Nothobranchius furzeri: one gene and its partner. The protein of the gene in region 1 purifies or fractionates together with the protein of each later gene. This does not show direct contact. Links are inferred from orthologs where the notes say so. Each region holds a gene or a part of one and is shown in the gene's direction. Other genes may lie near its edges. The genes, in order: map3k4 and growth arrest and DNA damage-inducible protein GADD45 beta.

Evidence for each region.
Region 2: the proteins of map3k4 (region 1) and growth arrest and DNA damage-inducible protein GADD45 beta purify together in Homo sapiens (co-immunoprecipitation; 3 studies listed by BioGRID and IntAct, counting the BioPlex papers as one, with this or other methods). This does not show direct contact. The link is inferred for Nothobranchius furzeri from reciprocal best matches to the Homo sapiens genes MAP3K4 and GADD45B.

Annotation. Positions count from the first base shown.
Region 1 is NC_091752.1:17,929,366-17,933,185, reverse strand, and holds part of map3k4 (mitogen-activated protein kinase kinase kinase 4), read left to right. Parts: coding exon 1-352; intron 353-487; coding exon 488-645; intron 646-3,820. UniProt on the Homo sapiens protein: Component of a protein kinase signal transduction cascade. Activates the CSBP2, P38 and JNK MAPK pathways, but not the ERK pathway. Specifically phosphorylates and activates MAP2K4 and MAP2K6.
Region 2 is NC_091748.1:78,786,074-78,789,561, forward strand, and holds growth arrest and DNA damage-inducible protein GADD45 beta, read left to right. Parts: upstream 1-1,542; 5' UTR 1,543-1,728; coding exon 1,729-1,772; intron 1,773-1,925; coding exon 1,926-2,027; intron 2,028-2,106; coding exon 2,107-2,335; intron 2,336-2,443; coding exon 2,444-2,557; 3' UTR 2,558-2,975; downstream 2,976-3,488.

The DNA of each region.
Region 1 (3,820 bases):
GTCCTGCAGTGGTCCTACTGATCCAGAAACAGAAGCTGACCAAGTGTCCTGGGAGGATCTGCTGGGTATGGATCTCCCATCCTTCCAGCCGGCTTTTCTCGTGCTTTGCCGAGTCCTCCTCAATGTTATTCACGAATGCCTTAAACTAAGACTTGAACAGAGGCCGGCTGGAGACCCATCGCTGCTCAGCATTAAGCAGCTGGTTCGTGAATGTAAAGAAGTTCTTAAAGGAGGCCTTCTGATGAAGCAGTATTATCAGTTTATGCTGCGTGGGCTGGTGACCGATGCTCAAGGCTGGCAGACGAATGCGAATATTGATGAGTTTGAGGAGGATCTTCACAAGATGCTGGTGGTAAGAATCTTCCCTTCTTCGTTTACTCAAATTATAAATGGACAAAAACTGGATAGTTTTGTAATTTGGAACTGTAAAAATTCATAAACGGGGTTGTGTATATATAATATACGTATAATACGTTTGTTTTTGCAGGTTTACTTTGAATATATGCGCAGTTGGATCAGAATGTTGCAGCAGCTGCCTCAGGCCTCTCACAGTCTAAAGAACCTGTTGGAGGAGGAATGGCACTTCACTAAAGTCATCACTCCTTACATTCGTGGAGGCGAGGCCCAGTCCGGGGAGCTTTTCTGGTGAGTAAACCTGCAAGGGTTCAATCGTGCCATTCTCGGTGCTGTCTGGCAAAAAATGTTGAGTTCATATTATACAATGTGTATTATTTTATCGTTGGTGGTAAAAAGTAAAAAAAAAAAAAAAATACACACAACGTCTCCCTCAAACAGCATAATGATTAATTTCACCAGTGTAGGTGATAGAGGTGTGAATCTTCACTTGTCTCCCGATTCGATTCGATTACGATTACTGGGTCAACGATTCAATTCGATTCGATATCCCGATGCATCACGATGCATCACGATTATTTCATATTGATTTGTTTTCATCGATAAATAGAAGATGTCAGATAATTGCTTTTTATTTTTTTATCTATTTTTTTGATCCCCAGTGAGTCGTGGAGGATGGCTGCTTCTACTGAGCCAGGATTCTCTGGAGGTTTCTTCCTGTTAAAAGGGAGTTTTCCTCTCCACTGTCGCTGCATGCTTGCTTAGTATGAGGATTGCTGTATAGTCACTGACACTAGTCAGTGACTTGATGCAATTTGCTGGGTTCCTTATATAGGAAACATTATTTCTTATTGGCTTAATGAACTGTGAATTGGAATGTTTATTATGTGAATTGCCTTGAGACGACTCTTGTCGTGATTTGGCGCTATATAAAAAAACTTGAATTGATTTGAATCTAAAACGTAATTGACACAACCTGCCATTCCTCAAAAGCTCTCCATTCACAACAGGTTAGGACAAAACATTTTAAACATTTAAGATTTAACAAAGTAAAACATCTGTTTCCTCGTTCAACACCACGCCTCAGGCTGAGAAAAACACGCTTTGCAAAAACTCACAAAATCTAAAAAAGTACTGAAAACCTTCAGGACACATAATGTAATAATAAAATCCATAATGGGCTCATATATGAGTGTTTAATGTCTCTGAGCAGCTCTAGAGTCCAATATTTATGCCACAGTTGAAGGGTGTCAGAAATAACACCAAATGAAATGTTTGACTTAATTTCATTTGAACCCAGTGGTTCATTTCTGACATGTTGGAGAATGAATCAAGTTCTGTTTGATGCAGAAAATAATAAAACACAAAACAAATTCTACACTTCCAATAATATTTAAGATGTGTGTTTTATTCTTCCTGATAAGAACACCAGCTGAAGGCTGTGGGCTGGATTAGGATTAAATTACCCAGCTGATGGATCTCCTTCACTAACCAGCTAACTACAAACCTTTCCACTAACCTGTCCTGTGGGACCCTCACCATGTGACCCTCATGTCCATGCTGTCTCAGGAGGAGCAGATAGGAGACAAGACCTCCTGTAACTTAAAATGAACCAACGCTTCCTCCCAGCTTCTGTTGAAGCTGAATTTAACATCAGTTTATCATCATGAAACAAAAGAATAAAGTGGAACGAGAACTTCCATTTCCCTCTCCTTTTAACTTATCCGTCTCCCTAAATAAAAGAGACAGACGATCACGCTGCAGCCGCCGTCACTGACCCCGCCCCCTCCCCAAGACCGGATCTCCCTACATTACAACAAGCAGTCTGACTGAGCGCTTCCAGGAGAAATAATAATTAAATTATGAAAATAACGCGTGTTTGGAGCATCGGTGTGGAGGAGCGTCCTCCGATCGTCTCTCTTGTGTGAGCAGACAGTCTCTCTCTCTCTCTCTCTCTCTCTCTGTCGCTGATCGAGCGAGCGGAGCGCGCCGCACGACAACCCGCTCAATTAACATAATTCACGGCCCAAATCAAACAGAACCGGTTGGGCTGATTCGGTTCCGGTTTGGTCTCAGGTGACAACTCCAGCGCTCAGCCCTGCAGTACCACATTAAGGCGGAGGTAAATGTGGAGGACGCTCACTCTGACAGATTTGGATGCTGCGCTAGTGCCGCCGTTAAAAAAACAAAACTACATTCCACTATAATCGATTATGGCGTACTCTTCTACGATGAAGAATCGTTTATGTCCGCATCCCGATGCATCGATTATTTGATTATTTTCCTCAGCTCTAGTAGGTGACTAAAGCAAACCTTTAATAATTTTCTTTTCTTCTGGACAAGTAGGAGTTCTACTCGGCCTTTCCACCGGACGCGTAAGCTTCGCATAACTTTCGCAAAGCACAGTACGCAACAATTAGTTGCTGTTATAGCTGATGGGTGTGTTTTTACTTGCTGCAAATTGTCACATTTTGGACACATCCCAGAAGTGCTTAACTAGTAAAAAAAAAAAAATCTGCGTCATTTAGGGATGAGTACCGAATTCGGTACTTTTTAAGGTACCGACCGAATTCAACAGTACCGACTGAGCACCGATTCACGTCATTTCAAACGGTGCCTCGTTTCGGTACCCGTCCTTCATAACGAGAACTTGCCAAGACAGCTGCGCATGCGCAAGAGCGTTATGTTGTCGGTCCCTGCGAGCAAGTTGTAAACAGAGCAGCATGGGTAGAAAGAACGCACGCTAAAGCTTGGGTCCACTTCACTAAATGTGATGGGTAACTGGGTGATGATGAAACCAGTGACAACGATCTAAGACATCCTCATCTTAATCTGCTCCGGTAGGTAAATAAAATGTTTAAGATAACGTTAGCTTGATATGTTAGCTTCCGTTCCGCTAATGGTGCGTTCGCTTTCTCCTCGGAACTCCGAATTTCCGACTAGAACATGAACGCGCTCTAAAGTTTGGCTTCACTTTACTAAATGCGACGGGTGATTGGGTGAAGATGAAACCAGTGACAACGATCTAAGTGTGAGGCATCATCGTTTTAATCTGCTCCAGCAGTTAGATAAACTGTTTAAGATAACATTAGCTTGATATGTTAGCTTCCATTGCCACCGTTGTTATCAGCTAATGGTGCGTTCGCTTTCTCCTCTGAAATTCTAACTTCCCAGTAGGTAAAATCAAATGGCAAAAGTAATGAAGATAGACAGTAAATTTAGTTCACAGTAAAGATGTTTGCTTCAATTTAATTATCAGCTTATAAAACTACAAGGACGATGTTAAAATACAAACAGTTGAATGTTATTTATCGTGAAATTTATTATTTATTTATCAAATATTGTTATATATTGAGAAAAATATATATTTAATTATAAAAGAGAATTAAAATAATAAACACTCAAAAGTATCAAAAATTGGTACCGTTAAGTACCGGTATCGATTCCTAGGTACCGGGAATTAGTA
Region 2 (3,488 bases), on another chromosome or scaffold:
AACAATTAAACATATTTTGTGATGACTCTAAAACAATCAATAATTTAATTTAAGAACTAAATCTAAATGTAGTCATTAAACTGTTGCTATACAGTTTTAATAGTGTGCAGATTCATCACGTGACTTCTTGTTTTGCCTCATGAACTCTGAGTTTTCTGCATCATGATGACTCATTAAGTATTAACCTATAACCACATGGAGACAGCAGAATCATGCATTTCCCGGGCATCTTTTAAATATTTTGTATTTAAAATACAATTTATTTTATTTCAGGCTTTTTATTTAAATAATTATTTTTAAAATTTATTTCTCTAGGAAAAAACATGTCAACATCTTGCTGATAAGGAATGGAGCCCTCTGCGCATCATCCTCTCACAAACTAACCCACCACTAACCCTAACTACAGCACGGCCGATGGACCTGAGCGTAAAACAGCCTTCTGGTTGTTTTGTCTTGATAAATCCATCAGTTTCTCACAGATCGTAAAGCTACGTTTATATGATCTTCGTGTCTAAATCCTGCTCATGTTTTCTGTCTGAAACTGTTCATCAGTGAAAACTTGACTCGTTCTCTGTTTTTTTATTTTTATTATTAAAAATTCCCTCTGGTTTCTTTTAGGATTCATAGGAATCATCAGACTTTTGTTTTCAGTTTCATTTCTTCCTCTTCCTCCCTGATCACGAGCATCCAGAAACTGGATGCAACAGAACCCCCGGGACCCCCCCGGGACCCCCCCAACGGGGCCGGTGTTCGGAACACCGAATGGAGACGTGTTCTGGTTTCACTGCTGCAGGGGCGCCGCTAGGGGCGCCCTTGGGCTTTGCAGGAAGCCAGAATGTGAGGCATGAATCTGCAGCGCAGAAGTGATTCCATCCATCTTCTTTAACCGCCGCATGGTCGCGCGGGTTGGTGTGCAGAAGTAAATAATTCAGAGCTTTTTATGCACAAAATAGTTGTATTTATATTTTAGAGTGTCTGCTCTGTGTGCTGCAGCTGCCTGATCATAGTAGCACAGGTGTTGTGTCTTGACCTGGAATATCATAAAGCAGGACCTCCAGCTGCACGACCAGCGATGGGTCATCTGATCTTCTCGTGCTGGAGAATCTCGCTGTTGCACAACCTGCAGCGCGTTGTACAATGGTGGGGGTGGAGGGTGCGTGCTGCTGCGACACAAGGCTGGTCACCTGCTCCCGCTTCTTATCCGGGTTCTGCATAAAGTCGTGCCTGCATGGATTCAGATTGAGGAGGAGTCGTGAAAAGGGACTTTTTTTTTGGGGGGGGGGTCTGGAGTAGCAAGGAGGATGAGGAGGAAGATCTGGAAATTCCTCCTCAAGACAGAAAAACCCTCCCAGTAAACAAACTGACAGAGAGAGGGGAGGGGAGAAGTGCGGGGGATTCTCCGAAACCACCCACGTGGGATCGCCGGTTTCTGCTGCGTGCTCGGCCAATCAGCGAGTGTCTTTTGATAGCAGAGGGCCAATCAGTGCTCGAGCAGTTGCTCGCGTTGACGGGAGGCTATAAAAGCGGAGAGTTTCATCTTTTAGAAGCAGAACGCTTCTCTCTCACACACGGAAACCAGCAGCAGGACCTGTCCCTATTACCGGACCTTGGTACCGATCTGGATTAACGCTTGCTTGGCACTTCATCTCTGGAGCTTACCGGAACAGCTGAGCGCTGTGGATATTTGCCTTTATCCTGGATCTTGTGGATTATTTAACTGACTTCGACATGACTCTGGAGGAAGTTGTTGGGTCTAGCAGCACCGAGAAAAAGTAAGTATTTGCTTTCAGATGATGCGTAATTACGCACAAGCTCACATTTTAGTGCAAATGATGCAAGATTATCAGAGTGTTTAGAGCTCGCGCCGGTTCTGTTGCGTTCTGTGCCGGTTTCGGTCCCGTCTAACCGCCTCTGTGTCTCTGCAGGATGGAGCCGGTGAGTCAGGCTCTGGAGGAGCTGCTGGTGGCGGCGCAGCGGCAGGACTGCCTCACCGTGGGAGTCTACGAGTCCGCCAAACTCATGAATGTGTAAGTAGGAGCTGTGACCGACTGGTGCCTGTACGCGCGCCGGTGCTGGTTCTGACCCGGTTCTGTTCTCCTCCTACAGAGATCCGGACAGCGTGGTCCTTTGCCTCCTAGCCACAGATGAGGAGGATGAAGATGACATCGCGCTGCAGATCCACTTCACGCTGCTTCAGGCTTTCTGCTGCGACAACGACATCAACATCCTGCGGGTGTCCGGGATCCGGCGGCTAGCCCAGCTGCTGGGCGACGACACCGAGGACGGGAACGGCAACGGGGGCGAGCCCCGGGACCTGCACTGCATCCTGGTCACTGTAAGTTCTGAGCTCGCGCTGCTGCATCAATGGACCTGACTTAGATCAGAACCAGGAGATGAATCTGTGTTGCATGAAACTAAAGCAAATGTCCGCCTTGTTCTGCAGAATCCCCCGGTCCACCCGCTGCAGTGCCAGGCCCTGCAGGACGTCAGCAGCTTCTGCAAGGAGAGCCGCTGTAAGAACCAGTGGGTCCCCTGCCTGGAGCTGCAGGACCGCTAACTGGCGCCGAACCGAGCAGAACCGCCGAGGAGCGGTGGATGGAGCTGAATTAACGCAAACGACCAGTCCTCGTGAGAAGAGGCGTAACGGCGTTTGAGAGGCGCGGGACCGAGCCGTGGATGCATAAACCGACCCATCCGGTCAGGAGCGCGTGAGGTGTCGTTGCTGGTTCCGAGAGCCGAACCGAACTGGACCGTGCTGGATGGCGGAGTTACAGAGATGGAGGCGTTTTGATGCGATGAGTGATAGCGAGGAGCTGCACGTGACGTTCCGGACTGGGCTGCAAGTGATGCAGGTGTTCCGCTCACCTGTTCGGACACAACTGGACACTTTGTTTTACAGTGACGTCATGTCTGATTATTTACCTGATGGAAGAATGAATCAGCGTGTTGATGTAAATAAACAGTTGAAAGATAAATGACTTCCCGAGTGTTTCGTGCGTGTGTGTGTGTGCGTGCGTGCGTGTGTGTGTGTGCGTGCGTGCGTGTGTGTGTGCGTGCGTGCGTGTGTGTGTGCGTGCGTGTGTGTGCGTGCGTGTGTGTGCGTGCGTGTGTGTGTGCGTGCGTGCGTGTGTGTGCGTGCGTGCGTGTGTGTGTGCGTGCGTGCGTGTGTGTGCGTGCGTGCGTGCGTGTGTGTGTGCGTGCGTGCGTGCGTGTGTGTGTGTGCGTGCGTGCGTGTGTGTGTGAACTAAGTTCGGTTCTGAAAGGGTGCTGGGATACTGTCAGACTTACAGCCAGCAGCCTCAGGCACAGGAAGTGCTTATGCAAGAGTTTATCCCGGTGCATCATGGGAAGTGTAGTCATCTGCAGAATGAGCCGGAAGAGTTCCTCAGAGTTCAGATTAAAGGACCTGGAGTCATTTCTTCTTCAAAACAAAACTGATGAGAAGCAAACAGAGTCAGAAATAATGAATCCTTTACTTAAACTGATTA